7 linked regions of the Oryzias latipes genome follow. The protein of the gene in region 3 purifies or fractionates together with the protein of the main gene of each other region. This does not show direct contact. Links are inferred from orthologs where the notes say so. Each region holds a gene or a part of one and is shown on either strand. Other genes may lie near its edges. The genes, in order: chchd2, usp10, ybx1, larp1, ncbp1, csde1 and ilf2.

Region 1 (4,465 bases), on a different chromosome or scaffold from region 3:
TACTACCTTCTGAGGTGTTTCCCATTTTGACCTTGGGGTTTCCAGTTCCTATTCTGCACACATGTTCCTGTATATTATTCCAGCCACTTGATTGTGGCGCTCCATGTATGCTTTACCTGCCAGCATCTTACACCCTGCAGTTATGTGCTGGATTGTTTCAGGCGCCTCTTTGCACAGCCTACACCTTGGCTGTATATGTGGGTGTGTGGATAGATAGATATAGTCATGTGCTCAGTGAATGTCTCAGACAATGGAGAGCTGAGGATGCAGTGCTGGAGGACAGATCCTCATGGGAGGACAAACCCCTGCATGGGATGTACCACCGGACCATAACTGAAGTGGCGGATATCAAGAAGTCTTACTAATGGCTAGAAAGGGCTGGCCTACAGGACAGCACTGAAGCACTCATCTTAGCAGCTCAGGAACAAGCCCTGAGCACCAGAGCGATAGAGGCTCAGATCTACCACACCAGACAAGACCCAAGGTGTAGGCTGTGCAAAGAAGCGCCTGAAACAATCCAGCACATAACTGCAAGGTGTAAGATGCTGGCAGGTAAAGCATACATGGAGCGACACAACCAAGTGGCTGGAATAATATTCAGGAACATGTGTGCAGAATATGGACTGGAAACCCCAAAGTCAAAATGGGAAACACCTCTGAAGGTGGTAGAGAATGAAAGGGCAAAGATCCTGTAGGACTTCCAGATCCAGACTGATAGGATGGTAATGGCGAACCAACCAGACATTGTAGTGGTGGATAAAGAACAGAGGAAAGCTGTTGTGGTGGATGTGGCAGTGCCAAGTGATGGGAACATCAGGAAGAAGGAACATGAGAAACTGGAGAAATACCAGGGACTCAAAAGAACTGGAAAAAGCCTGGAAAGTGAAGGTGACAATGGTGCCTGTGGTAATTGGAGCACTCGGGGCAGTAATACCTGGAAAGACCTCAGACCTCTCAGTCCAGAAAAGCGCAGTGCTAGGAACAGCTAAGATACTGCGCAGGACCCTCAAGCTCCCATATAGATAGATAGATAGATAGATAGATAGATAGATAGATAGATAGATAGATAGATAGATAGATAGATAGATAGATAGATAGATAGATAGATAGATAGATAGATAGATAGATAGATAGATAGATAGATAGATAGATAGATAGATAAAAACAATGTGTAGAGAATAAATTTACCTAACATAAAAAAGAAATACGGTAAAAATAAACGAAATAAGAAATAGGGAAAAAAAATAACTTTAATTACTACAGTCTTGGAAAGCGTTTTAAAAAAATTGTTTTTTAAAAGTAGACTATTTAACAAACGTTATTATACATGCGAAGCATCAGAAGAGCAAAGACGGGGATAGTAAAACAAATACAAAAAAATAAAATAAAAAGACAGTAGGCGAGGAATTAAATTGTTATTACAGAGCACATTTGAGCGAATGACAACACAATGAAAATAGGGGAAAGTTCAGTGTATCGTCTCAAAATAAAGTTACACAAGCGTTTCAGCTGCACCGGAAGTTAGCCGGCAGACAGATGATGTAACACATAGAAAGTTCCGGATGAACCAAAGGTCGACATAAAACTCGCAAGCGACGTTGCGGCTCCAGATTATCGCGTCAGTTTTTCATCAAACGCACAGCTGTCCAACCTTAATATTTAGGTATGCCAAGAGGAAGCAGAAGCCGGACATCTAGGATGCCCGCCCCGGCCAGGTAACGATTTCTATTTAATAACTGGGATGAAAGGTGGTTAGATAGTGTGCTGCGTGGGATAGCGCAGGCTAAAATGTGCTAATAGTGTTTCAGTGTCAAATGTCTGTGGGAGCCTGCCAACAGAGTTGAGGATTATTTTAACACATTTAGTATCCTAAAATGCCCAAATCTGGAGATAAAAACGTCTATTTATGTTCAGACAGGATTGTTGAGGCAGGCCAAGAGTTTCTGACAAATGTAGTAAAGGTCAAAGTGTCAAACCTATGTATTTTAAAATTCAATTTTATAGAATGGTATAACAATACGTCATTAATGTTCATCTAAACTCATTGAAAGGTTGAGATGCTTTGCATTCATCCAAAAAATGAACTTTAATAATGTTCACAGTGTGAAAGTATCTCTATAATATAACACGTTTTAGTGACAGTTTACTACAAAACTTGGGAAGATTTTTCTTACGTAATTGGCTTCTTTAACCTTCAGTTACATAACTGTCCTGACAAAACCTCATCATGACCTCCAAAACCCACAACATCAACTCTGACACACAATTTTAGTGAGAAATGATCTCTCATTAGACCTAAGCGTAGACCTGAACAAGAGTGATCATGTCAACAACAATAACTCAAAAAATATTACTGTCCTGTAATTTTTAGGTACGGAACATGCCAACTTTGATATTTAAACTAAGGTTTACGCTTTACAGCCGGGCGCCACCATCCCCACCACCCATGGCCAGAGCAGCACCTCCTCCTTCCCACGCCCCTGTCCCAATGCAGGCTCCTCCATCCGCTGTGGGAGCACCGGCTGCTGCACCCAGGCAGCCGGGTATGTTTGCGCAGATGGCTACTACAGCAGCTGGGGTGGCAGTGGGCTCCGCGGTGGGACACACTATTGGCCACGCGTTGACTGGTGGGTTCGGTGGAGGACAGTCAGAACCAGCCAAGCCCGACATCACGTACCAGGTAAAAGGAAGAGCATCTGCCAAAGGACCAGAATAGTATCGGTAAAGATTAGGTTGTCTAACTCCTGGCAATGCCAGCCGTTCAGAGCTCAGCTCTAACAGGAAAAAAGGCAGTCAAATTTACAATTAAAATGTTGCTAAATCAGTTGGAATTTTAATTCATAAAATACAGTTTTGATCTGATTACATTGATTATTTACATGGTGTTATTGTCAAATTGAGACTAACTAAAGCCAAAGTATATATAACTTGGTTTTTTCTTTTTAGGTTTCATCATTTTATCATGTCAAAGATAAACTGAGCCTTTAAAGTAAACATTTTCTTTACATTAGCTCATAAAATACTTCTATATTTAATAGAAGCTGTTGTTGTATTTTTAACTGAATTTCATTTTAAAACATGTTTTACTCTAACTTGTTTTGAAAACAAATGCCCCTTTTTTCAAAATTATTGTCTCTAATCTTTCATTCTGTTTGTCAGGAGCAACATCAGCAGCAGCCACAGTCTTTCTACCAGCAAGAACAGCAGCAGCAGCAGCAGGTTTGCTCCTATGAGCTCAAACAGTTCATTGAGTGTGCACAGAACCAGAGCGACCTGAAGCTCTGTGAGGGATTCGGTGAAGTACTGAAACAATGCAGGTTTGCAAACGGTAAGCAAATGTGGAAATACATTTTGTAATAAATAAAAAAAAAGTAGATATGTACTAAGGGGTTGTTATATTTTTCATCCTCCTGTGTGTTCGATGTTTTGTAGTCTGGTTTTTCCTTTTTTATTTTTATTTTATGTAAGCTAAGCATGGGAAGACTTTCTGTTTTTTCAAAGATTTATTAGGTCCAAATTCTTTGTTGGAATTTGTCAGGGGTGATGGGAGTTGTAGTTTAAACCCGTTTTACTTATGTGATGCTGCACATTTAAAATGATAAAAATAAATGCATCTTAATGAAGTGTTTTCTTCTCCACAGGACTATGATGAGGTGAAGACAAAGCGCTGCAGAGAAGAGGAAGTCACAAATGTTATCAAAGTTTTAGCAGGGTATAATTATTAAGGGATCAATCAACAAAACAAGCTCATTATTTAACATTTGAGTTTCAAGCATCATTTGTGAAGACCGCTGCAGAGCTTAGAAAAATGTTTATATACTTTAGTGTTGTCATTTCCTCAGTTTGTAATTATGATGGGAGCTTGTGTTTCATTAGCATCCATGCTTTTAGTTTCTTCTCTGATACTTCAGACTCTGCAACATGAACCTGTAAGAACAAAAAGTTTGCATTTTCTGGATGAGCATTGCTCAAGGTTTGATTGTACCAGTAAAAAAATAAAGTTAAATCTAAACCTGATTTATTTCCTTGCCTCTTCAATCACACGTTGTGTTTCTTATTTTGGCCTGCTAGTTCTTTAAATAGAAACTAGGAGCTGTTACAACTCAGCGGTCCAGCAACTGTTGTGTCACTCCAGAACGGTGCACGTGCAGTAACCTGTCTCTGAATGCTAAAGGTGAGAAAAGGGACCGTCTTCTCACAGCATGGATCCCAGTTTTTGTTATGTTGATTCGCCTAGGCTGCCTGAGAAGCAGCCGTGTATTTTTGGCGTGTGACATTAAAGCTCGTCTTATACGACGTGGAAGCGGCCACCCCACACACGCGTGCAGCAGCAGTCGGAGCGGACCGGACTGGTTTTAATCTCTGCAGAGCGATCACACTAAGGATGAAAAGGATTTTTTAACACGGACAAGAACGGTGAGTGTTTTCAGGTGTTGCTTCGCTGGAAATGGAAAAAAAATGGCAG
Region 2 (3,815 bases), on a different chromosome or scaffold from region 3:
TGTCTAGGTTGATGTCATGAAATGGTCAGCCAGCACCCACACACCCAGCGCCAGGGATAGTTTTCTTACTTCCGGCTTGGAAAATGAACTGCAAAAACTGGCATTTTATTTAAAGAAAAAAATTATGCTTTGCCAATGGTAATATATTTTCATTTATATGGATATAGATTATTCTGAAAGGTTTAAAAGTATGATATAGGCCTTTAAAAAAATAGTATGTTTGTGTGCTGGAAAACAGCAGGTGTTTTTAAAAAATTGTGAACTAAATATACTTTATTTTCTTTCTCTCTCTCTCTTTTTTTTTACCTAGTGGGAAATATCAAATTCACTTGTTTGGAAGTGTTTGGATGTTAACAAACTCAGATTTTAGTTGCTTAGAGAAAGTGTGTGGCTACCAGATCAGGCAATATCATATAGATTTGTATGTCTGGGAGTATTCCCTTTTATTCTCTACCCAACTTCAGGTAAATTAGTGTTTGGACTAGCAGCAGCTTGTGTAGGATTAACAAAGAAATGTAAACCCAGTCACTTAAAACACTCCAACAGTCTACTTTAACCGGGTCACAAAGTTATTTTTTTAAATTTTTTAAAAACTTTAAGTTCAATCTGTCACAAAGGTGATCATTTTACCCTTTGTCCAGGACCTGGTGATAGTAACTGAGAGCAAGTGTGGCAAAGTGCACATTATTGCAAGACACCTATTGGAGTGGCAAATAACTTTTTAAAACAGCTTTACACTGGGATAAGAAAGACGTTTCTGCAGTCTGTACTTAGTCTGGGTTATTCATAGAAAGTTGTTCTCACAAAACTGAGCAAATATGAAAGAAAGGCTTACTAGTTAAACCTGGTTGTTCCAGGTGCTGTTTCTGTTAGACTTAATGATCACTTTCAAGATTAGATCAAATGGTCTGTAGCATTCTTTTGAATTACTTCTGAAGATATTTTTCCTTAAGTAATTTTGCACTTAATAATTTTTTATTACCAACTTTAATGTAATTTTTGTGTCGTACCAAATGCTTTTTTTTACTAGTATGTTAATTGGTGGGCAAAATGTCTAACAATATAGCTATCAGATATGATAGTTATATCATATATGATGTATATGTGAATTTTTTGCTCATACTGCCAGTATTTTATTCCATTTCCAGCTTTAGTCATTTACTTTTTGGTTAGAGAACACAATTTTTGATTAGCCTCAGATAAAGATGGGTCTCCTTGTTGAAGGTGAAGGAAAAAATATACATATGCAAACAATAAAAGAAGGAAACAAACACAACAGAAAAAGTTAACACAGTGGAGAGTTAAAATTCCCAACTAAGAGATGAAATTGCTCAAAACAGCACTTTGCCCATTTAAAGTCCGCTTACTCACTAAACTTAAAATAACTTGCTGTGTCCTGAAGCGTGGCTAGTGATCTGTATTTATACCAGGTATAAATGGCATAAACATAATTGAGACCACTGGGAACAATTTTAAAATAGAACTAAAGACGATTGAAGGGAGACTTTAAACTGAGAATTGAGGCATCCTTAATACTTAGAGGTTAACATCCGTTTGTCGATTTCAGCTTGTTTTCTGCTTTTTCATCATGTTTCCAAATTTTCAAACCCAAAATCAACTAAGATAAAGACATAGGTCAGATTAAGCTTGTACAACTAATGTATCCATTTTACTCTACTGTTAAATGTATTTGCACTTGCATGTATGTTTGTTTCTAAATAACACGGAAATCATACAGATGGCTAATCTGTTTTAACCCACAGTCCAAACTAACAGTGTAGAAAGCTTAGAGAGGTACGCGTGGCATGCCTACAGAAGAAACCAAGGGACATTCTTTCTGTTGAGCCATCCTGAGGCCGTTGGATTATAGCCGGCCGTTTGTTGATTGTAGTGCCATTTCAGCAATGCATGCCCGAGTGTGGGGCCTCATCTGCAAAGAGTAACATGCTTGGGCTGCACTTTCTTTTCTATGCCTTTCTTTTCACGTTCTACTGTTTATTGCACTGAGAGGATTAACAACACAGCTAGTGAGTTCTTTTTTCATTTTCTCATGCGCTTCCCCCCCATGCACTCATGTTGACACTTCAGTGGCATTGAGCCTAAGTTATGTGGGACATCTGTTAAGAATAATACAACTGATATATTGACAGTTGTTAACTCATCATAATTTTAGCTCTTTTTACAATTACTGCATATGTGTTTGATGCCTCATGTTTTGGCTTTTGCTCATCAAGGACAAACAAAATCACAAGAGATCCTAAAAGTTAAAAGGATTGATTACCTGAAAATGTGATACATTTTTTAGAACTCTGAGGTGCCAACACTAAAAATAGAACAACTTAATTTTACAGTTTACAAATGGTGAAATATTAGTACTCATGAATTTCAGATAGCCTTATTTAAAACTTGATAAGAATTCAAGATGAGACCCTTTTTGCTGTATCCTTGGAACTGATGTTGCAAGAAATCCTTTAGACCCAGATAGAATTGCGCTGTTTAGCATTCACTACCATAGTCCTTCCTGTATGCATTAAAAACACCCATCTCAAATGTTTAATCAGTCACACACCCTGTGAGAGAGAGGAAAAGGAAAGATTTCTTAAACAATCTGCAATGTCTGTATTTAGGGCTATAAGGCAAAAAATACTACTTCTGTCTTGTACCTCTAGTACAGAATCAATTAGTTTTAATTGGAATTTCAGGAATTTTTCAAAAACTAGTAAATAACTATTGATGTGCTTAATTTTCTTTTTAGAAATTTCTCTTTAACATGTTGAAAACTTTTTTTTGCCAACTAAAACCTTTGTTCAGTCCCTTTAATTGGTCGCTCTACCATCTAATATACGGAAAATGCTCATACAATTTTAAAATGACAATTTTTAATGCCGTTTTCCAATCATTTGTCGTTTTATTGAGTTAGGAATATGTGTTTGACACTACTTTTTTTCTTTGACTAATTAATTTCATTTTTCCTTTCTTTAGTACATCTTTGGAGAGTTCAGTCCTGATGAGATCAATCAATTTTTCGTGACTCCTCGATGTTATGTTGAGGTAAGTACAATGACTGACAGTGGCATTCTCGTTGCTTTTGTTGATAAAAAGAAAAAGGCACTCTGGAAGCAACAGGTTTTACAATTAATTTAATTCAGATGAATTGTTTTAGTAATTCTACTTTAAAGCTTTCTCTCTTTGTAACTGTCTTTAATCTCACAAGAAAAAATAAATCATGAAAGCTTTAAAAACAAAACACCTGGTAAAATGTGTCTTAACTTGCTCTAATTTATTAATTTTTACAGCTTCCTCCATTCAATGACAAGCTTCCATGTATCAGTCAGTCTTCTGGTATGTAAATCTTTATTATTGTTTCAACAGTATTTTAGATTGTGGGTGTTAGCCCACCATCAGCCCTAGACAATTGCTTCAAATTACCCAATGATGTCTCAACTGCTGTTCCATTTTACAGCAAATCTTACAAATGCAAGAGCTTAGGTTTTGTTTCCATTTGTTGCTTGATAAATACCTGATGGAAATATACTTCTTTTTGCACAATTTACAAGTTTTTGTTGAATGCTATATATTGTTTAAAATATATCGCAAATGTAAAAAACATATTTTTAGAATAAAAAAAATAGCTCTTTTGTCCTTCTTGTTCAGCCACCATCTTAATCTGGTAGACTAGACCAGAGAAGCCTTTAAGATTTGTGACCATTCCAGGAAATATATCTATTCATATTGGGTTAACAAATGTCTTAACAGCCACCTGTGTTTTAGTGGAATTGATTTTCAGATAACATTTGCCTTTCCTTGATTTGTAT
Region 3 (4,583 bases):
AGCTTTACCAAGGAGCATGTTGGGAGAAGAGCAAGTGTCTCGACTGTCATGGTACAACTGGTTGCCTACTTCTGGATAGCAGCCTGGTGACCGCGTACCACAGTCATTTCTCCGCGTGGTGCATTGGTGTACGGGGGTCCACGACCATAATGTCTACGTACAAAGTATGGTGGGTAGCGTCGTCTGCTGGGGTAAGTGGGTCTGCGCTGCTGTGGCTGCGATTCTCCCTCAGGGGCGCTTTCTCCCCCGTCTCTGTTTCCTTTGTCACGCACTCCGTTGCCAGGCTCGCCTTCTCCATCACTTGGGTAGTTCTCTGGGTATTCTCCTCCACGAGGGGGCCCCCTTCTGCGTGGGTAACGCCTGTAGCGGTTCCTGTCAGCAGCGTATTTGCTTCCCTGGACAGCCACCCCTCCAGGGCCAGTGACATTTGCTGCCTCTGCACCCTGTTAACAGATAAGTTTAAAATTGACAACATGCCTGCAAACATAACCAAATTCTTCCCAAAACATTACCTTCTCTCCCTCAACTACATCAAACTCCACAGTCTCTCCGTCCCCAACACTGCGAAGATACTTCCTTGGGTTGTTCTTCTTTATGGCTGTCTGAAATCATCAACAATTGAAAAGTGAATTAGTCGAAATAAAAAAAAAATGTTTTAAGTTTCCAAAAGGTTTGGAAAATAATAGGTCACCTGGTGTACAAAAACATCCTCTTTTGTGTCATTCCTGAACAAAAAGAGAAAAAAATAAAAAGATTCAGTTATACCACACATGACTTACTAAGACAACACACCTCTGAAGACAGATTGCAACTAAGCCAACAAGTGCAAGGATTAATGAAGTCTTGCAGGTTACAGTGTGCATGCAGACCACTAGAAAAAATAATCAGGTCAGCCACGTTAGCAAAGCAATAATCATAATAGGATTGGGAACGCTGGAGGTGGTCATTTACCTATTGATGAAACCATATCCATTCCTGACGTTGAACCACTTGACTGTACCCAAGACTTTTGTTGCTGCAATGAAAAACAGAGCAACTCAGTTATCAAGTGTCAATATTACTTCTCTAAGCTGCAAAGGTAATTTTAGAATAGCAGTAATGAAATTTTGAAAATATGATAATAGATTGGGAACAGTCAAAGCATCGCACATAATAAGATATGTGCAGGAAAAAACTAGCCATAGTGTGGACGTTAAAAATAACTTCCAACTGTCGTGCTTATTATAGATGCTGATGCTTAGGAGAGCCTGGCGCCAGCTGCTCCCGGTGTGAAGCTCCGGCCATGGTAGAAAACAGTCCAATTACATTGACTGCAAATGTGTGGAAGGAATGCGGATAACACGGGGAACAGAGCTTACGACACGTCAAACTTCAAAACAAGTAACCTCGCGTTTAGCAACTGCATTTAGAGAACTCGGACATTAAAGACCTACTGCCCCATTTTAAGACGCCCAGTTCACGACGTGAGCGTTCACACGTGGTAGGGTCGCACACGGACAGACCGAAAAACAAGCCGAGTTGGCTTCTTAGCTTAGCCGTGTAGCTAAGAGTTACAACCATGTGGTTGGAGTATAGCCAAAAAGCGGAAACCAACGTAATAAACCCATCAACATCTTACAGATGTTACTTCGAAACTACTTAAGCAAGCGCTTTTAGTACCTAAACCGAGCTAGAATAGAACTGTAACGTATAAACGGATCGTGTAACGGCGGACATTTTGGGTGGCCTTTTCAGCCATGTAAATAGCCAGCCAGCTAGCTGGCTAGGCTAACATTAGCATCGTTAGCAACTGGAAAGCTATCGTGAAATAATTAGGCCTCACCGAAAATGTAAAAAAAAAATCGAGTTAAAGCTTAGGACGGTTTGAATACAAATCCCAAAGCGTTTATTATTGAATATATCTAATAGTTACAAAATAAACTTGAAAACAACCACCTTTAAGCTTTGACAGAGAATACAGGGATTCGACACTTGTGCGAACAAAGGGATAGTAAGCAGCTAGCGTCAGTTGCCGGTGAACTTGTTAGTGTGAACTAACGCAGGGTATTTCCAAGTTTAAAACATTTATTCGTCATTTTTTCGGGTTTTGTTCGTACTTTTGGCGGTTAACGGTGAGAGATAAAGGTCTGCAACGTCTGGTAGTAAACATGCTGGATCTGACATAAATTACTCCTACGATCATCCATGTGACGGCCGTTTGGATGCATGCGTCTCTTTTTCGCAAATGTTTTCCCACCAAGACAGAAAATCATGGATTAAGTGGTTATTTACTACATTTCTAAGATGTGGATTTTTCCTAAACTTGTGACATCTCATAGTTAATGAGAATGATACGCTATTAATGAATAACCGTTCCCAACTGACAGTTTTTAAAATGTATAATTATATTGACAGTTGGTATCACAATTCGACGTACGGTTTAACGTCCAACTACTTAATAAAGTTGATCGTAACGGTCATTTTACATTAACATAATTCAACGGCTGTTTCTGTCTCGTTTACAGCAACATAAACCACGTTTAGCATCTAGTTAGCTAAGTGGAGTCGGCAGTCTTACCGATGACCTTCTTATCCCCCGCGGAAGCTGCAGCTGCCGGGCTGGATGGGCTTTCCGCATCATCGGCAGCAGGCTGCGGTGGTTGTTGTTGTGTCTCGGCCTCGCTGCTCATAGTTACTGGTTGGTAATGGCTTCTGCCGGCGGCGGCTCTCTGCTATTTTTCCCGGTGCTAGATGGTAACGTGGGCCGGCGGTGGTGGGGGCTACTGCCTTCGGGCTCTCAGCTTTCCTCTTTCCGCTCCCGTTGCCGATCGAACTGGGCAGAATCAGTAGTTGTGTTGGGGAATGTTCTTGGTTGTGGCCCCGCCCATTCGAGCTTTTCACTGGCTGGAATTATTGACTGAATGCGTCACAGAAAAAAGGCGTCCTCTGATTGGCTAGACTACTGTCAGTCTAGTTGAAGCGACGCGTTTTCACGAACGGTTGGTTAAAGGTACCGTACCTGTCAGTTTTCACCGCCCCATTGTAATCATGTGTCAGATGCATAAAACTAAAAAAAAAGACGCATAAAGCTAGTGTTGATCCACGTAAACCCCTTTTAAAACCGTAGTTAAACAACATTTTTATGGCATTATTAGGAAATATTAGCCTACTTTTAAATATTGCTGGAGGCTAACAATTTATGTAAAATTTCAAAAAGTTTGACTCCCACAAAAGAATCAGAATATATTGTAAATTTAAAAAAACATCCACAATATTGCTTTTTTATTTTTACTTTTAAAATGAATGGTTGTTACCTGTAAATAGTGATGATTAAACATCAAAAACCAAACTTGATAACCAAAATACAAAAGATCCAATCTGCAAATTTTTAGATTTGACTTTTTGCAAAGAGAATTAGATTTTGTGAGGTGAACATTTGTGAGGACCAACCATTCAACCTGCATTCTTTGAACCCTTATAACATTAAATGCACATGAACTGTTTAAGGGAAATGCTTATTGCATATTAATTGTATTTTCTACACATAGAACAAAAGAAGAGCTTAATAAATCTTTAACAAAATGACAGTGAATTTCACATGTGAAAACCATGCACCATTCTTTCCTAGTTAGCTTGGCATAGTTGGGATGTCTTGTCTTGTAGTCCCTCTTGATATTGAATTTCTTGAAAACATCCAGCCTCTTGCATGTTTAGTATCTTACTGAAAAAAATACACAAATTTCTACTTGTCCTGAAAGCAGCGACCCCCAATTGTCAACATTTGTTAAATTTACAGTCGACATTTTAGAAATGAGCTAAAAGGTATTGCAAAAGGGTCACATCATAGTGTTGCCATAGGTTTAAAATGGTTTATAAAGTAGGCAATCATAATCAAGAAATCATACACAGTTTCCTGGGAGCACATTTATTTTTATAAAAGGTACCAGCAGGCTAGAAGAGGCTTTCAGGAGGGCTGCATTTGGCCAGACTTTGTAGAGATCTAGAAAGAAACCTTTGACAGGTTTCTGAACCCACCTTGGACCGGCCAGACTTTGGACATGCCTGCCTTAAATGGTGAGAACAAGAATAACTCCATATTTAAAGTGAACTTTCAAGACAATCCTGCCCTTTTTTGAGAAATATTAAATAGAAATATAGAAAATATTCCAGCACTGACTGGAATATTTGAAACAATCTCCGTGTTTCTTGAAAAAAAGAGATTTTTTTCAGATCGGACGTTTTGTATGTAGGGTGTGTATTCCTTTCACATATTTTTTTAGTTGTTATAACCTGGTATTGTACTGCTTCACTGCATGTGACCCATCACCTGGGGGAGCAATGAGCTGCACACACGGCCACCATTGATTGCTGAACCCCCCAATCCAACCTCTTAATGCTGAGTGTCAAATGTTGTGTCCCTTTTTTGGAGACTTTGTTATGATTTGAACTCTTGACTTCTGTCTCAGGACAGACACTCTTCCACAAGGCCACCGAGTTAAGCAAAGTTGACATACTAAAAATGTAGATTTTCTATTATTATTCCCATCTGCTATATGTGCCATGGAACTTACTATTAACATGTTTTAATTAAATTTCAATAGCAA
Region 4 (3,815 bases), on a different chromosome or scaffold from region 3:
CATGACGGGGGTGCCCTCTGACGGGCTGGCGTTGGAGCTGCGAGGGACAGTAAACACGATCCAACATGATCATCCTAAGCTCCCCAAACTCTTTCTTATCCCTTGAGCTGTCTTGTGGGGTCCAGATGACCCCACTCCCCACAAGACAGCTCAAGGGTTATCCGTCTGACACGGTTTTGAATACGTCTGTTGATGCTCTACCTCTGTACAACACAAGCCCACATCATCATGCCTCCACCACCGTGCTCAACCACTGAGATGAGAGGTGGACTCTTCATCCAGAATGACGAAACACCAAGCTTCCCATGATGCATTTCTTCAACGATCCATTTCCTTCTACAGAGCTTTGGTCCGTTTTCAACACAACATTCTACACAAAAACCACCACATGTTGAGTGTCCTGACCAAGTCATGTGACTGGAATAACCAGGAATAGAATCCTTTGTGAACACACCGTTCCCTCATTTAGTCTGTTTTAAGGCTGTAGAAGCCGCCGCTACACGCTTGACGGGCTCTTCTCAGACAGAAAAACGTTTTCACAATTTTCTCTCTTGTTTAAACCTTTATAGAAAAATAAGTCCAGCATAATTGAACGAAAAAAAAGATCTGCTGGTGGATAGAAAGACTCAGCAGTCCCATACCATGATGCTTCCTCTGCAACTCACCTGACAGAGGCGGTGCGGGACCGGTGCTCTCTGGAGTCCATCACCCAGCCCACGTGGCACTCCATGGGGGGGTTGGAGCTGTGCCTGGTCTTCCTCTTCCTGGGAGTCTGGAAGAGGAAGACTCTGAAGCGTGAGTGAAGGAGTTCCCCTCGGGAAACCTCCTCACATCAACCCCACCTGCCCCCGCCGTCTCACCTTGGCGTCGACAGGCCGGCTCTCCTTCACCACCGGGTAGAAGCGAGGCGTCATGGTGGGGTCCTTACGATGCGGCGTGCGAGGAGTCCGCGGCGTCCGGTAGTTTGGCGAGTCAGGCACGGTTGTGGGTAGCGAGCGGGCCATTGAGGAGGGTTCAGGGGCGCCGAAAAGTTTGTTTGCCAAAGCATCTGTGGGGACTGAAACACGACGAGACGCTAAAGAAGTGAGCTTTAAACTGCAGAGAGAAGAACGACACGCCGCCGATGAGGAGGAGCACTCTGATAAATGTGACCCCATTTCAAAAACTACTCTTTAATCATTTTGAAAGCTGAAGTAGAGTAAATGACAGCTTTAATTTTTGTTCCTGGGAATCAGAAAGTGAAACTATGAACTTTATTTGTGTCATTTAAGCGTTTATGTCAATGAATGACTGAAAAACAAGAGGCTGCACACCGTCAAAGTCCCACTCCAGTCATGATTTGATCTATTTTCAAAGCGTTCCCAGTGGTTTTATAATTATGATTAACCTGTTTTTAGCCAAAATTAAATACGCAAAGACGTTTTCTAGGACATAGTTTCTGCAGAGCAACAGATTCAAGCGGAGACGAGAAAAAACAAAGACTTACATTGGTTTACAAGTGGAAGCATCAGAATTTAAGCTTCAGGGAGAACACTTCCTTACCCATAAAGACATAACATTTAGATTAAATAAAGACATTAACATTTGTCCTCCATCATCGGAAAGATGCCATCAGAACATGTTAAAACTACAAAAACATGATTAGTTTTGAGTTCGACTTGAATCTGTTTTTAGAAAATGCAATATTTACATAATAATATATTAACAAAGTTAGTAGTTTCAGGTTTCTGTGTCGAAATCTTGTCACTTTTTTTTGATTTTTTTCTAACTGCTTTGCACCTCAATCTGTTTTTAAAAAAAGATTAAAAACCTAAATTTCTCCTAAATAAAAAAAAAAGGAGAAACTATTGTCCTGGTCAAAACAGATTTTAGTTTAAAGCTTTTAGTAAAACATAATCTGCTGATTTTGTCTGGGTTTGCTTACTCTGCTGGGGGCGCGGGGGTCCGGGGGGGACTTCCTGGTTGGGGTCGACGGGGGGTTCTGGGGTCAGGCAGTCGAACTGCTCCCGGCTGATCAGGTGGACCTTCTTGAAGTTCTCCACCTCTTGCTGGAAGCAAAGAAAAGACAGAAACCCGCAGCGTGAGTAGAGGGAGCGGAGGAAGCGACCGGCAGCGGCGGAAGGGGAATCTCCGTCGGCGGACCTCATCCGCAGAAGTTTGGAGACAGACAGGCAGCAGCAGAACATGGCGGCCTTAAAGAAGCGTTTCACCCTCATATCGCCACAAACAGCAGCTCCACACAAACCCGTCTGTCCTGAGAGCAGCAGCTCCACTCACACTCATACTCGGCCTCTCTTTCCAGAGACTCTCCAGGGATCGGTCCGCGGCCATCTTTGCCTCCCCCCTGGCACCCCGCCGTTTGGGGTCTATTTATAAACGAGCGGCGTGTGTTCCACAGGCTGCTGGATGTGTGTTGGCGAGCGCGTGAAGGTCCCACACAGAGCCCAACAATGCAACAATGGGCGGCAGCGGCAACAAAAAAGCGGACAAAAAGGCAGCTTCTGTGCTCTGCTTTGGGTCCGGATCCAGAAAAAGCTGCAACTGAAGGAGAGCCACCGCTGGAAGGCCTCCATGCATGACTCTGCTCTTTTTCCCTTTTCACCACCATAAAGCCGCCTCACCTTGATGGTGGCGTACTCCGGCTCATAGGGGGCGTCCCACAGGTCCTGCTCGTAGTAGAAGAGCCCGTCGTTGATGACCTTGACCAGCTCGTTGGTCAGCTTGGCGCGCGACGTGTGGTGTCCGGTGCGGTCGCCGCCTGGGTGCTTCCGCAGGTAGGGCGGCGTCTGCGTGACGATCAGGATCTTGTTGACGTCCTGGTCATCCAGCTCGCCGTCCGTCTCTTCGTCTGACCAGTCGGTGAAGGTGTTGCGGCGTCCGTCCATCTGCTCCATCTCTTCGTCGAACATGAAGTCCAGCTCCTCTGGTTCGTCCTGCTCGGCTCCGTCCTGACCCCACAAACAAACACGATACTCAGTTACTTTCATTCATCAACAGACTGTCAGGATTTTCAAACTCTTTGTAAACTATTTTAAAAACTGCTAAAAACTGTCTAACTTCAGGATGAAATCCCAGCTTTAAAACTAAACTCTATAATCAGGTAATTCCATCAAGTCACCACCAGGTGGCTTGTTTCACAAATATAGTTTATTCTGTAATAATGTTTTGAAGCCCTATTTTAAATTTGACCTTTAAAAAACACACGTGTCCACGGAGGGGCGTGGCCTGTTGATGGACATGTGACCATTAAACCTACAGCTCTAAACAGAACCAGAACTGGTCCAAAACCCCTGCAGATCCGTGCAGGTGAGCGGCTCACCTTGTTTCCTGAGGTAGTGCGGGACGGCGAGGAGCCGGGCGGGGGAACCGGGGATCGAACCACTTCGTCTTTTTCCTTCTGCTGCTGCACCGAAGGGGCCTGCTTCCATCACAAAAAGAGGAGGGAGAGGAGATGAAGAGGAATGGTGAGAGCAGATTCTGTCAACACCTGACTGGATGGATGGATGTGGTTTGGTTCTGAGATCAATCTGTGGAGCTGTAGCTTTAACTCTGAGCTCCGTGTGAAGACGTGACGTTCTGAGCTGACCTTGGGTCTGGCGGGAGACGGTCGGGGCCTCTTCTTCACCTCGATCCAGGACTCAGAGTCCAGGTCAGGGAGGCTGGCAGAGAGGCCCTTGGGCATGGATTTGAGGTTGGAGGTGTCTGGGTCAGGCTTGGCCCGCACTGGAGAGGATCCTCTGGAGGAGCCTGCAGCAGAAACCCTCAGGTTAACAGCCGTTGAGGCTCTGGTGGAGCAGGTGCAGGAAGGCGGGAAT
Region 5 (4,385 bases), on a different chromosome or scaffold from region 3:
TTTCCAAAAAAGTTGGACCGACTAAAGGAGTTTCTAAATGTGATGTCTTGAATCATCATCATCATCATCATCATCATTGAGGTTCACGTCAATATTTACGTAATGAGCCAAATTTTGGCCTGTCAATACTCTGATCAAGCCTGAAATATATTACATATCTATAAATGATTTAAGCATTGATTTACATCTATTTGGTCCGGTAAACGGTAATAATCTGTTTATGACAAAAACAGGGAAGAATTTTATATGTCTAAAGTGACAATTTAAAAGAAGCAACAAATTTTTTTTTATGTATTTGTTTGTTTGTGACATCAAACACTAAAAAAAAGCCTCTCTGCAAATTTACCAGTTGGCCAAAAGCCCCCCCCCCTCTATTTGTTGTCCCAGGACAGAAGGTAAATGTGCCTCACTAAATATAAAGTAATCATTTAATGAACGCCTGGTGAAAGGTGAGTTTTCAACTGTAAAATGGTCAAATATGTTTTTAACTACAGGATCTATTTCTAAATTGTTGTGCCTTTTTTATGTTGTTTGTTTTGGTGTAAAGCACTTTGTGTTATCATGTTCTAGAATTATATAAATTTTACATAAATAAAGATTGATTAGATTTGATACACAGAAAAACAAAAACAAATACCAAAGATATTCTCTAACTTTCATGTCTTGAATACCTTAGGTAGTAATAATATTACTACCTAGTAGTAATAATATTACTAATATATAAAAGATGCAAACTGCCCAGAATTGGGTCAGAATCAATATTTAGTTTAGATTAGTTTAGTCATTTTTTATTCTGTTTTCAATCATTCTGCGTTGTCTTTGTGGAAAGAGAAGCCAGATATTCTCCTACCTTTCTCCTGCAGAACCTGTAATATTTTCTGTGAGCAGCAGAAATGTGTTTGTTTTGCTTAATTGATCCATGATCAACCATCGACGTGTTGACCTCCCAGTTCAGAAACTCTGAGCAGACTGCTTCACTGGCTGCCATTCTCCTCAACTGGCAAATTAAATGCACGACAAATATGTTTGTGATCGTAAAAAACGCAACTTTGTGATAGAACGCGTAAATACTGACAAAAAGAGAGATATAAGTTCTCAAACGCGGTAAATACCCTTGTATTTCCATGCGAGTGTGCAGCTCACCGGAAGTGGAAGTTCAGCTTCCGGTTGTACCTTGAATGACCCGGATGTCCATCATTTCAATCGCTCCGCTGTTATTTCTCTGTAAGAAGCTGCTGTTGCTGCTGCTGCCGCCTCCGGACTCTGCCGTTCAAAATAAGCAAAGCTTTTCCCGGATCCACCGGTCTGTCCCGCGTTATTTTTTTTACACCGGGTGTCTGCACGCGTGCAGCTCAGGGGGGACAACATGTCCAGGAGGAGACACAGCGACGACAGTGACGGCAAGTCGCGCGCTGCATGTGCGATTCAAACGTTACGGCTAACGCGGCAGCTAGCTACAGCTACCTTGATTATCTGTATGTGCTATAACTTTAAAGGAATGCAACGATAGCAGGCGTTGCCCCAATATCAAGTATTTTTTTAAAGCTACTAAATAAATTAGGGGATTTTAAAAAATGATTTTTAAGAGATTAAGTTTTACCAGAAAAACCCGGTTCCGTTAGTTAGCTACTTTAGCTAACGCTAACGGCCAGATTTATGTTTTATAACGGTTTCTGGCACACAAAACACATTTAATGTTTGTAAAGACTGGCGTAAGTGTTGAAAGAGACACTTTTTCTGTGGGTTCATCATCATGCGCATGGAAACGTGATGTTACAGCCCTGTGGATTTTGTGATTTATAAAGGAACATTCACAACCAAAGTGTCTCACGGTTCCACACTAAAAAAATATCAGACCTAACAATATTTTTATATAATGTAGGATTAGTTTAGTATGTATTTGTCATTGTATGTATAAATGACTTCTATTGGCTTCCATTGAGTGTTTACCTTTCATTCAGAGATTTCAGTAAGGAGAGAATCAGCAAGGCAAGTTTATTTCTTAAGCACATTTTATGTACAAAGGCAATTCAAGGTCCTTTACATAAAACACTAAAAGAAAAATTTAACAGAAATATTAAAGGAGTTATCACCAAAATAAAAATTTAAAGAACTGAAGTAAATACCAACCTGCATTTAAATAAACTGAGTGTTTCAGCTGATCCAAGGCTTAATTCTGGTAGTCTGTTCCAGATCTACAGAGCATAGAAGCTGAATGCAGCTTCTTCGTGTTTGATTTCGACTCTAGGTACTGACGAAAGAGCAGATCCAGATTACCGGACAGGTCAGAACTGGACTGATGTGGTCTAATATTTGGCTCCTTTGAAGGACCCGAGCAGCAGAGTTCTGAATACGCTGCCGTATCGTCCAGCAAAAACACTGGAACAGTAGTCAAGTCGACTAAAGATCGACTTAACACATAAACAAGTTTGGCCAAGTCCTGCTTAGACATCAGATCTTTATTTTAACCAGATGAAATTATCTCAAAGCGATGTTAAAAAGATGGGTTTTGTGCTTCTTCTGAAAAATCTCTACGGTCTCTGAGGCTCTCCGGCAGGCTGACGTCCAACTGTTTGTCTTTAGCCCTAGACACAATATTCTCCATTTTTCTTCTGTTTACCTAAAGTATATAGGAGGAAACCTCCAGTAAAGTCAGATGGAGTATGTGTGACTGTCGAAACACTAGATTTTATGAGACGAATACACTATTTTCCCCCCAAAACGTAGATTTGTTTTTCTGTCTTCAGTGTCCTCTCAGGTCAGAGGTTTAAGTTCTGTCCTTTTCATTTTTAGGAGGTCAAGCCCACAAAAGGAGGAGAACATCAGAGCCTATTGAGATTGAAGACCGCCTGGAGTCGCTGATATGTCGCGTTGGAGAAAAAGTACGATGGCCGTTTTGTCATAAAGCCATATATTTACTATTTAAATAATTTGCAATAACTAAAGTCCGTCTTTGATCTTTTAAAAGAGTACATCGTCCCTCGAGAGCAACCTGGAGGGGCTCGCAGGGGTTTTGGAGGCGGACCTTCCAAACTACAAAAACAAAATCCTGCGTATTTTATGTGCAGTGTAAGTTGTCCGCAGTTCTCCTCATTCTCAAGCGTAACAAACGGTCCGTTTTCACAAACGCGTCTTTCGACAGAGCCCGCCTCCTGCCGGAGAAGCTGACAGTCTACACGACGTTAGTCGGCCTCCTGAACGCCAGGAACTACAACTTTGGGGGAGAGTTTGTGGAGGCCATGATCCGGCAGCTGAAGGAGACGCTGAAAAACAACTTCTACAACGAAGCCGTTTACTTGGTCTGTTGATGTTCAATGTCTAAACTCGCAGCTGCTGCAGCGCCTTTTGCTCTCGGCATCGTTTAAGTTCTCTGCTCTCTTCAGGTGCGCTTTCTGTCAGACTTGGTCAACTGTCACGTGATCGCTGCCCCTTCCATGGTAGCCATGTTTGAAAACTTCATCAGTGTTACTCAGGAAGAAGATGTGCCACAGGTTTGTTTCTGCACGGCCTCACCTGGAATATTTGTTTGCATCAGAAGTTTCAGTTTATGAACATCCCGTTCTTTTTTTACTTAATGTCACATTTAAGGCGCCTCCTTTTGTTTTACTGCAACGTCTGAGTTTCCCCATTTCAAATTCAGCAAACTCCTTTATTTTTGTATCATCTGATGTTCTCAATGACGACTCAAAATTCCATGACTTGGTTTTGGGAGAACTGCAGTCCAATCAAAAATAAAAATGATTGTTTTCTGTGTAAAAATAGTTTTAGATTTATACAAAAACGATTTTTCAGCTTCTCAATTTGACTTGAAGATGAAGATCAGTAAGCGTGAGACCCTTTTGGCTCCAGGTTCGGTTGGACTGGTTCGTGTACGTGGTTCTGTCCTGCCTGCCGTGGGTCGGCAAGGAACTTTATGAGAAGAAGGACGTGGAGATGGACCGACTCCTGAGCCAGATCGAAGGCTACCTCAAGTGAGACGCGGCCTCTTTTCTGGAGCATCTTTTGCTTTCCATTGAAGCTGTTGTTGGACTGACTCCAGCGCTCTGCTGTGTTCCTGGACAGGAGGAGGGTGAAGACTCACGTCCCCATGCTGCAGGTGTGGACCGCTGAGAAACCACATCCACAGGAAGAGGTGAGCCTTTTGGACAAGCAGGTTTTGAAACGCAAGTCTAAAAAGATGCATTAGAAGGATCGAAGGGGGAAAAAAATCCAGATTGCTTTGAAGAATTTTAAAGAGAAACGACTCCTGTGAGGAGAAACGCTGGAACGTCGGCATAGGAAAACTAGAAGAGGAGAATGGGCCACACTGCCCCCCCCCCCCAGTGAAATTGTTGGGTCTGCTGATAACACATGCAAGGAAAAAAAGGATCAAACTAAATGTCATA
Region 6 (3,815 bases), about 6.2 Mb from region 3:
CTCTGACTTCAGGGAAAAGACATCTGCTATTGACGGACCAGAACCAGAATCTTTTTCCTTTTGATTTGGATTTATTGCCACACCCTTTTCAGAGTACCGAGACGCTCCGCATAAAATGCAGCAACTGACTCTCTAATGTTACACGTATGCTAATAAGTTTCATTCACTGTTGAATATTGTATTTAGAAAAATGTAATGTTTTATGTCACCTTTATTTATTAAAAGGTGACAACTTAGACATTTAAGGGGAAAGCTAAATTGCCTTTTAATGGTTCTTGCATATAGTTTGGGTTTAAATTGGCTGCAAATCTTTTACAGAGAAAGAAGATTAAATAAAATAAAGTTGCTGATTTGTGGAAACTTGTCAAAACTAAAGACTAACACTTGTGAGGAAACTTAAGCACAGAAAATACTCCCTTTGTTTTGAAAAGAAATGTTTAATCAAACAGCATTTATCAAACAAAACAAATGATTCATTTTTGCCATGAAAAATAAGTTTTTGGTGTGGAAATAGCTTTCTTTAAAACAACTGTCTGTCTTTTTAATGAAGTCTTACAAATCAGAAACAACTTTCAGTGAATCTCCATCATCTATAAGACGTCTACAGACTTTGCTCTATAAGCAAAGTGTCACATAGAAGCGCTATAATTTGAAAAATCGATTTTCCGGAAGCGCATAATAAATTAAAGATCCACTTTGGCTTGTGGCCTGAAAAGGCTGAGGGCCGCTGCTCTGTAGGACTAAATCGGTGAACGCCACCTGCAAAGATCTTTTACACCCAGATGTGTTTAATCCTCAGTGAAATGTGTGGAGATCTGGATAATCTGGATCTGGGCGACACTGTGGAGTACAGTCTGTCAAAGGGAAAAGGAAACAAAGTCAGTGCTGAAAAGGTCACCAAAGTGGCTGCAGGTACCTGAAGGTTTCATTCATTCATAACATCCATTTAAAAGGTTCTGATCACTCAATGAAAGTTCTCTCTTATTTTTTAGTGAACGGGACGGGCGAGGATGTTGGGACAACAATTCTGACAGGAAAAGTGATCCGTCCCATCCGCAGCGTGGACCCCTCCCAGGCCGAATATCAAGGCCTCATCGAAGTCATAGATGACGGTCGGTGTTGCTAGAGCAGCTTCTGTCATTCCAACTTCCTCCTTTTCACTCTTTTTATTATTTTTTGTTTTTATTTTGTTTTGCCCAGCTGGAGGAAAAGGACCGTCTTACCCCTTTGGAATTATGGGAATGGCAAACAAGGGAGACTGTTTGCAGAAGGGAGAATTTGTAAAGTTCCAGGTTTGCACGGTTTCCCAAACTGGCCAGAAGATGGCGTGTAATGTGGTTCCCCAGCGCCGGGCTGTGGTGGAGTGTGTCAAGGACCAGGTATGCTTGATTTCTCTGGCTAAGCCGTTGCCGCCGGCGCCGCAGGTTTAAGCCGTGGGCTCGTTTCCCCTCCTGCAGTTTGGATTCATTACGTACGAGGTGGGCGACAGCAAAAAGCTGTTCTTCCACGTCAAAGAGGTGCTGGACGGCCTGGAGCTCCAGACGGGCGACGAGGTGGAGTTCTCCGTGGTTCTGAACCAACGCACGGGAAAGTGCAGCGCGTGCAACGTGCGCCGAGTCAGGTGAGGGCGGGAATGACCACCGGGGTTACAGCTGGGGTTTCCAGCTCGTCTTGTACAACTTTCCTCACGCCCGTTCTTTTTTAGCGAGGGGGCTAAGCCGGTGGCGACGCCGCGTCCAGACCGCCTGGTGAACCGGCTGAAGAGCATCACTCTTGATGACGCCAGCGCTCCTCGTCTGGTCATCCTGAGACAGCCTCGTGGTCCGGACAGTTCAAAGGTAAGCGACCTCTGACGCTGCGTTCCCGTCGCGCGGCGGAGGCGTCCAGTTTCTCGTTTCCTGCGTCACGTTGGGCGTCAGCTGTGGAGGAATTCTCCAGTCACGGCGTGTTTTTGGGGCATGTTTCCAGATTTCAAATACCTTAACTTTGGTGAATTATTCAAATCACATCAACCAATCAGGAACTCGGCTTTGGCCTGTGACGCGTTGATGATGCGATTAGTGGGTGGAGTCTAAAAACAACACAGAGGAGAATCTGATCGTTCTCCTGAATATATTTTTATTTTTTCCCCTCCTCCACTGACGCGGGACGACTCGTCAAACTGGGACAGAGGTGGAAGTAGCGCTGAACGGGTCTGGTACGCAGACGGTGAAGCTCACCGTACCGGCAGAGTCCCTGAACGATGCCATGAACCCGAACATGGAGGCGGGATTTTCGATGTTGTTGTAGCGCTCTTTAAAATAAATCAGCTTGGTCAGTAGATCATTGGTACTTAAAGATTCTTAGTTCTGAACCGGTAACACACGGCAGGAGCGGCAGGTCTATGAACAGACTTTTGGACAAATGTTCAGTGGGAGGAGGAATTCGTGTCCGGCTTAGCCGTACCTTGACGCCAGCACTCGTCTGTATTTATGGTCGAGCGATGGACCCAAGAGTTGAGCTTGAAGGTGCAAAGACGCTCAGACATAGCCTCCAGGATCTGACATCTTCTCCCTCTTCTCCCTCAGGGCTTCAGCGTGGAACGCAAAACCCGCCAGCCGGGGGTGATCGACTGAGCGGAGGCTCCCGCTGCGTCTGTGCTTGGCCGCTGTCCTCGCAGGCTCCAGCAGCACAAACTGGAATTTGATTTGATGCTTGCACATCAGCTAACCCACAAACGTGCGCACACATGCAGCCGTTGGCGTGTCCGTTTGGCCATTATGCATCCCTGTGAGGGAACTCGTCTCGCTCCTCCACCGTTCCCTACCTCCCACCCATGATTGAATCGGTAGTACCCCACTGCAGCCTCCGTGGGTTCCTGAGAGTGTGCGTCTGTGTGTGTGTGTGTGTGTCATGTTCCCCAGAGGTTAAGTGTGTGTGGCTGAGGGATTTGTTTCAGTTTGTCTTTTTCCAAATTGGCGTGACGACTGGCTTTCCGTGTCTTGACCTCTCGACCAGGCTCTGTCTGGAATTCTGCACCTGTAATCGGTCCGTGGACCCCCCCACCCCGCTCCATTAATGTCCTTCATGCTGTTTCACTCACGGAAACCTCAAGTATTTGATCAAACTGGAGCTTTCCTACACAATGCGTAGATGGGCGTCGGCTCCGTCGGGACGCCGGGACTCTCCTCTGCTCGCTTTTTTGAGCAGTTTTAAATGCTTGACTGAAGAGCTGAAGTAAAAGCATGGAGTTATGTCTGGGGGGGGTGTCAAAGTAGTTGCTATACTTGATGCTGACGTGCCCCCCTCCCCTCCCCGTCCCTTAGCGGTTTTTTCTCTTTCAGGTGCAGAATTCCTCGTTGCATCTTATATTTGCGATTCTTTTATACTCTTTTTCATTTCTGCACATCTTTTTTTTTTTGTTTTTTTCGGAAACTCAGTCTGCTATATTGAACGTTACAAATAAGGTGCCTATTAATAGCAAAGTTAAATAAAAATCAAAATAAAAGTAAGATGTCTCCTCTGTTCCTAGCACACCACCAACATATTCAGAACAATCTTAAGGTGGCCCCCCCCAGTAGAAATATTGCTATATGCATCCCAGAAATGTGGGTTCATCTATACTGTATGTAATGTGTGCTTTTTTTTTTTGTTTTCTTTCTAATAAAAAGATCAAATATAATAAATTTAATTTAACGGAAAAAAGTAAAAAAAAAAAAGATCAGCTTTTGAAATTAGGATATTAGTTTTTGCTCTAGAGAGATGATGTTCCTCTGCACGATGACCTACAGCAGAAACTCCTTCCTCTGGACTTCATGGGGTTTTGGTTGGATGAC
Region 7 (4,325 bases), on a different chromosome or scaffold from region 3:
ATTGAATAAAACCTTTTCAAAAAGAGGAGATTGGACCCACATCAGAGTCATGCTCAAAAAAGTTGAGTTTTATTTTTATTTTGTTTAAGGTTTGTTTGTTAAACGTACAAAAAGAAACCACATTTACGTAGAAGAAATAATTATTTCCCTGTTTTCTTTCCAGAACTAGTAACATTACTTAAACCTCACAAGAAATGCATTCAATAGTCTTTTCATGTTTCTTATTGCTAACAAAACTCCAGAGGAGGACACAAGTGCAGACCTGTTCATTTTATTTCATTTTAAGTAGGGGTGTAACAATTAAACGACTCGATGAATTAATTTTTATTCGTACGATCCAACCAGATTGATCTATCTGAGGCAAGTTGTTTATCGAATCAAATCAATCTATACTATAAAGTCATTTAAAAATGAAAGAAATTGATTATTAATATTTGAAAATCACATTTTGATTGGTTAGTTTGTGTTACTATATTGTAAAAATGACCAAGTGCAATCACAGCGGACAACACACATGATGTCAGCAAAAAATGATCCAGCATTGTTTCTACACCCCTCTTCAAGAATATTGGTGATACAAATATTGTGTGGACCTGTCTGTGTGCGAAAGTCTTGTGGGATAAATCTTCCATCATGAATGTAGGAATATACTTCCAATCTGTAAATAGATGTGCAGAGAATTTGTTGATGTGTGAACTAAGTCATGCAATTTACTTATGACACTCGTATGTTTTGACCTTGTATTATCTAACCCCTCATCCCCTGTCTCCAACATCCCACTCTATTTCTTTCTTTCTTTCTTGTTTTCTTCCGTCTGATTCAACATAGATCGCATACAAAAATAATTATCATAAATAATGCTTATAGCCTCAAATACAAAAAAGGGGTTTTATACAAATCTACACTCTGTTTGTTGTTTGTCTGAAGATCCATAAACCCCTATTGTAACAGTAAAATCTGTCCAACAAGAGATCTTCAGTTCTGATCTGCTAGCTCAGCTGTTGGTCAAGTTAAAATAAAAAAAGATCAGTCCGTCAATATGATCCAATGTGTGGAAACAAAACACAGACATGTGACCAAACAGTGTGCTAGAATGTTCTAATAATGTTCTGTTTGTATTATTTTGATGTGATTTTGATGAAAACTTCCCCTGCACTGTTCAGTATTTATGTCTTAAGCCACACTGGTTGAAGGTTTGCCCAAAGATGTCCTGGATCAACTTTAGGTTAGTCAGTTAATCAGATCAAATTGGATCATTCAAAATGAACCAATATCGAAAGTGAATCGGATCAGCAACCACAAAATATGTGAATCGTTGTTATAGTGAAATGTCACATCGCTTATTTTAGGGCAAATTAAAAAATATTGTACTGTTGTAAATGTTGCATTTTTATATTATATTCTGAAAATGTTCAATAAAAAAGCTATATAAATAAAAGAGGTTGCACTTTTAACTCCTGGTCTGTAGGGGCAGCAGTGTGCTGTGAGCCTTTCCTCACCGGAAGTTTCACTAGCGCTGCCCCAGTCTATGTCCGGTTCTGCGCCTTCATTGCAGCAGCTGCAAATCTTAATTCTTCTCGTTTGTTTTATATTTTCGGAATCAAAACGTCTTACACGATGAGGTAAGCATATATTTATTCATTTTATTGGCGTCGGTGGTTGAACACGCTGCTCTTGTTGTTGTATTTTGATTTGTGTCCAGCCTGTAGCCGCGTTAGCATAATAACCTGTAAGTTAAGCAGCGTTTCCCTCATGTGTTTCAACTCTTTTTTTTTTTAGTTTAGGAGCCAATTCTGTGAATAAATTCACGCGTTTTCGTACACAGTTTTGTTTTTAGGCTATTTATATACTTATTTGTGTGAATTAATGTCAATAATCATTCTTCGTGCAGACCACTAGCTCCCATCAGATTATGTGTGTATGTCACTATGTGGCCTAATCATTTTTGTTTTATCATCTGTTCCCTTTCTGTGCAGAGGAGACCGCGGAAGAGGCCGGGGAGGGCGCTTCGGAGCCCGCGGAGGCCTGGTCCAGGGGTTAGTGTCTGTTTCCCAAACATTTTCAGAAAACAAAGTCTGATCGGTTCGTGTTGGCAAGCTTTTCTGCCCCCTACATTTTCCTTTCAACAACCCTCTGAGCCAGCTTGCTGATTACTTATATGTCTCTAGTCTGTCAGAAACTGGACACCTAATTCTTGAGGATCAGAATCAAGATGAACGGGGCTAGCTGGAGTAGAGGACCATGATGCTAGGATTGTTGTAACCTAAGAACACTCAGGATAAAAAAAAATCTAATATTCTAAATAGATTGATGACTAAAGATGCCCCCCCCCCCCCGACCTGTAACTTTGAAAAACCAACAGCAGTGTTGCCCATGTTACGAAAGTATTGCCTAAAGTATTAAATCACTTATTCAAATAATTAAATTGTGGCATTCCAGTCATTTCCATGGCCACAGACGCATAAAATGAGTTCTTCTGCAAACATCTTAAGGGATGTTGCCATCCCAGGAGATCAGTGAATTCCAGTTGTCAGAAGCTGTTCTCACCCCTTCCAGTTCAAGTGAAAGGAAGTCTGAATGCTGTAGGACACCAAGAGATTTAAAAATTTAGAAATGTTGCTTCCTGGTAGCACCATGACTGTGCACCACTGCTAGAAGCAGGCCCATAAAGACATGGATGAAGATGATGTGGAGTACAAATGGATTATAACTTATGATCATGCGTGTAAAGTCAAATGAGTGGCTACTTTTGCCATATAGCATGTGTCTGATGTAACAGTGAGAAGGTTTGAGCTTAAAGTGAGTAGTTAAAATCTCCACTTTATGCACTTTAAATCTTGGGATATAAATGTTTACATATGAACGTATGCTTAATTTAATCATTTTTTATGCAGGTACCGCCCGTTTGTCCCACACATCCCGTTTGACTTCTACGTGGTGAGAACAAGTGAACATAGCTGGAATATCGATGCAGAATAAGTGTGAGTCTTGACTTTCACTCCTTTCTTCCACCAGTGCGAGATGGCCTTCCCCAGAGTGAAGCCTGCTTCTGATGAGACGACCTTCAGCGAGTGTCTCCTGAAGAGAAACCAGGACCTGAGCCCCACGCCAGCAGAGCAGGTCTGACTCGGACTCGCCCAGGAACTTTCATCATCATCATCATATGTGCTTCTAACACATTTTGTTCCCTTTTTTTTTTTTTTTATAATAGTCCTCTATCTTGTCGTTGGTCACAAAGATCAACAACGTCATTGACAACCTTATTGTTGCTCCTGGAAACTTTGAAGTGGTGAGTTGCTCCACTAAAGAACCTTTGGTCCCATTTGAAGAACCTTTGGTCCACAGACTAAAGCAGCTTCAATGAACATGTAGATACATTTTTAACAATGAGGTGAAATATGAGGGATACTGCCGGTACATTTTTATTTTAGGCAAAACCAGACTGATTGAAGTATCTTTAATTCAATCACAGCCTTCTGTCACAATCCATGACCCACAACAATGAATAATTGTTTTTTTTGTGCCTCTTGACAGCAAATTGAAGAAGTCCGTCAGGTGGGTTCCTATAAGAAGGGAACCATGACTACTGGGCACAATGTTGCAGACCTTGTAGTCATCCTGAAGATCCTCCCAACATGTAGGTCATGAGTTTCTCATCCGGATGTTGTCAGATTCTTTTGTCTGATCGACTGTATGAGAATGGTTCATATATGTTGTTGATGCATCAAACATCCCAGTGCATCAGCACCGAATCTGAATTTCTCCTTAAATATTTTTTTTCAAACTTGAATGATGTTTTTTAGTCACATTTAATGGTTGTGAAAAATTGTGTCTTTATGTCCAAATATAATTTTGTTCTTTTTAGTGGAGGCTGTTGCTGCTCTTGGCAACAAGGTTGTGGAAACTCTCCGCACCCAGGACCCTACTGAAGGTAAATCACAGAGATCTCCTTCAATGAGTTAAAGCATCAACGTGATTTACAAGTTTACCCTAAAAATTGCTTCTGAAAATTTATTAAAGCTATTGTAAGATTTGCAGGAACTTTTTTTAAAGCATAAAAAATAATTTAAGTCCTACATCAATCATCTTTTGATCTATTGTAAAATCGTTCCCAGTGGTCTTTTAATTATGGTTATAGAATTTTTAGCCAAAATTCTAAAAACCTGCTGTTTTCTAGGACATTTTCTGCAGAGCGGCAATAGTTCATCTGAAACTCGCCTCTAACTTGTGGGTGGGGCGCGGAAGTAAACCTCCGCTTATTTCCTATCGTCACTTTTGTCCACACGCTATCCTGCTAGCTTACAGATGCTCAATACCCCAACCCT

The links.
Region 1: the proteins of ybx1 (region 3) and chchd2 purify together in Homo sapiens (affinity purification with mass spectrometry; 3 studies listed by BioGRID and IntAct, with this or other methods). This does not show direct contact. The link is inferred for Oryzias latipes from reciprocal best matches to the Homo sapiens genes YBX1 and CHCHD2.
Region 2: the proteins of ybx1 (region 3) and usp10 purify together in Homo sapiens (co-immunoprecipitation; 3 studies listed by BioGRID and IntAct, with this or other methods). This does not show direct contact. The link is inferred for Oryzias latipes from reciprocal best matches to the Homo sapiens genes YBX1 and USP10.
Region 4: the proteins of ybx1 (region 3) and larp1 purify together in Homo sapiens (co-immunoprecipitation; 3 studies listed by BioGRID and IntAct, with this or other methods). This does not show direct contact. The link is inferred for Oryzias latipes from reciprocal best matches to the Homo sapiens genes YBX1 and LARP1.
Region 5: the proteins of ybx1 (region 3) and ncbp1 purify together in Homo sapiens (co-immunoprecipitation; 3 studies listed by BioGRID and IntAct, with this or other methods). This does not show direct contact. The link is inferred for Oryzias latipes from reciprocal best matches to the Homo sapiens genes YBX1 and NCBP1.
Region 6: the proteins of ybx1 (region 3) and csde1 purify together in Homo sapiens (co-immunoprecipitation; 3 studies listed by BioGRID and IntAct, with this or other methods). This does not show direct contact. The link is inferred for Oryzias latipes from reciprocal best matches to the Homo sapiens genes YBX1 and CSDE1.
Region 7: the proteins of ybx1 (region 3) and ilf2 fractionate together in Homo sapiens (co-fractionation; 4 studies listed by BioGRID and IntAct, with this or other methods). This does not show direct contact. The link is inferred for Oryzias latipes from reciprocal best matches to the Homo sapiens genes YBX1 and ILF2.

What each region holds. Positions count from the first base shown.
Region 1 is NC_019871.2:16,549,957-16,554,421, forward strand, and holds chchd2 (coiled-coil-helix-coiled-coil-helix domain-containing protein 2), read left to right. Parts: upstream 1-1,518; 5' UTR 1,519-1,665; coding exon 1,666-1,715; intron 1,716-2,421; coding exon 2,422-2,680; intron 2,681-3,159; coding exon 3,160-3,328; intron 3,329-3,641; coding exon 3,642-3,649; 3' UTR 3,650-4,017; downstream 4,018-4,465. UniProt on the Homo sapiens protein: Transcription factor. Binds to the oxygen responsive element of COX4I2 and activates its transcription under hypoxia conditions (4% oxygen), as well as normoxia conditions (20% oxygen).
Region 2 is NC_019861.2:21,049,103-21,052,917, reverse strand, and holds part of usp10 (ubiquitin carboxyl-terminal hydrolase 10), read left to right. Parts: intron 1-2,982; coding exon 2,983-3,051; intron 3,052-3,296; coding exon 3,297-3,342; intron 3,343-3,815. UniProt on the Homo sapiens protein: Hydrolase that can remove conjugated ubiquitin from target proteins such as p53/TP53, RPS2/us5, RPS3/us3, RPS10/eS10, BECN1, SNX3 and CFTR.
Region 3 is NC_019865.2:7,797,925-7,802,507, reverse strand, and holds the start of ybx1 (nuclease-sensitive element-binding protein 1), read right to left. Parts: upstream 2,806-4,583; 5' UTR 2,670-2,805; coding exon 2,558-2,669; intron 1,016-2,557; coding exon 952-1,015; intron 726-951; coding exon 692-725; intron 603-691; coding exon 513-602; intron 444-512; coding exon 162-443; intron 1-161. UniProt on the Homo sapiens protein: DNA- and RNA-binding protein involved in various processes, such as translational repression, RNA stabilization, mRNA splicing, DNA repair and transcription regulation.
Region 4 is NC_019872.2:3,472,880-3,476,694, reverse strand, and holds part of larp1 (la-related protein 1), read right to left. Parts: intron 3,748-3,815; coding exon 3,587-3,747; intron 3,419-3,586; coding exon 3,320-3,418; intron 2,949-3,319; coding exon 2,622-2,948; intron 2,049-2,621; coding exon 1,925-2,048; intron 1,058-1,924; coding exon 861-1,057; intron 773-860; coding exon 666-772; intron 38-665; coding exon 1-37. UniProt on the Homo sapiens protein: RNA-binding protein that regulates the translation of specific target mRNA species downstream of the mTORC1 complex, in function of growth signals and nutrient availability.
Region 5 is NC_019868.2:27,750,878-27,755,262, forward strand, and holds the start of ncbp1 (nuclear cap-binding protein subunit 1), read left to right. Parts: upstream 1-1,366; coding exon 1,367-1,400; intron 1,401-2,793; coding exon 2,794-2,882; intron 2,883-2,968; coding exon 2,969-3,069; intron 3,070-3,142; coding exon 3,143-3,299; intron 3,300-3,383; coding exon 3,384-3,491; intron 3,492-3,849; coding exon 3,850-3,971; intron 3,972-4,062; coding exon 4,063-4,132; intron 4,133-4,385. Other genes in the region: tstd2 (thiosulfate sulfurtransferase/rhodanese-like domain-containing protein 2), read right to left, coding at 851-1,126. UniProt on the Homo sapiens protein: Component of the cap-binding complex (CBC), which binds cotranscriptionally to the 5'-cap of pre-mRNAs and is involved in various processes such as pre-mRNA splicing, translation regulation, nonsense-mediated mRNA decay, RNA-mediated gene silencing (RNAi) by microRNAs (miRNAs) and mRNA export.
Region 6 is NC_019865.2:1,564,177-1,567,991, reverse strand, and holds part of csde1 (cold shock domain-containing protein E1), read left to right. Parts: intron 1-799; coding exon 800-912; intron 913-992; coding exon 993-1,112; intron 1,113-1,200; coding exon 1,201-1,379; intron 1,380-1,457; coding exon 1,458-1,621; intron 1,622-1,705; coding exon 1,706-1,838; intron 1,839-2,567; coding exon 2,568-2,615; 3' UTR 2,616-3,815. UniProt on the Homo sapiens protein: RNA-binding protein involved in translationally coupled mRNA turnover.
Region 7 is NC_019869.2:21,697,453-21,701,777, reverse strand, and holds the start of ilf2 (interleukin enhancer-binding factor 2), read left to right. Parts: upstream 1-1,488; 5' UTR 1,489-1,617; coding exon 1,618-1,622; intron 1,623-1,976; coding exon 1,977-2,036; intron 2,037-2,894; coding exon 2,895-2,937; intron 2,938-3,015; coding exon 3,016-3,120; intron 3,121-3,211; coding exon 3,212-3,289; intron 3,290-3,534; coding exon 3,535-3,637; intron 3,638-3,865; coding exon 3,866-3,931; intron 3,932-4,325. UniProt on the Homo sapiens protein: Chromatin-interacting protein that forms a stable heterodimer with interleukin enhancer-binding factor 3/ILF3 and plays a role in several biological processes including transcription, innate immunity or cell growth.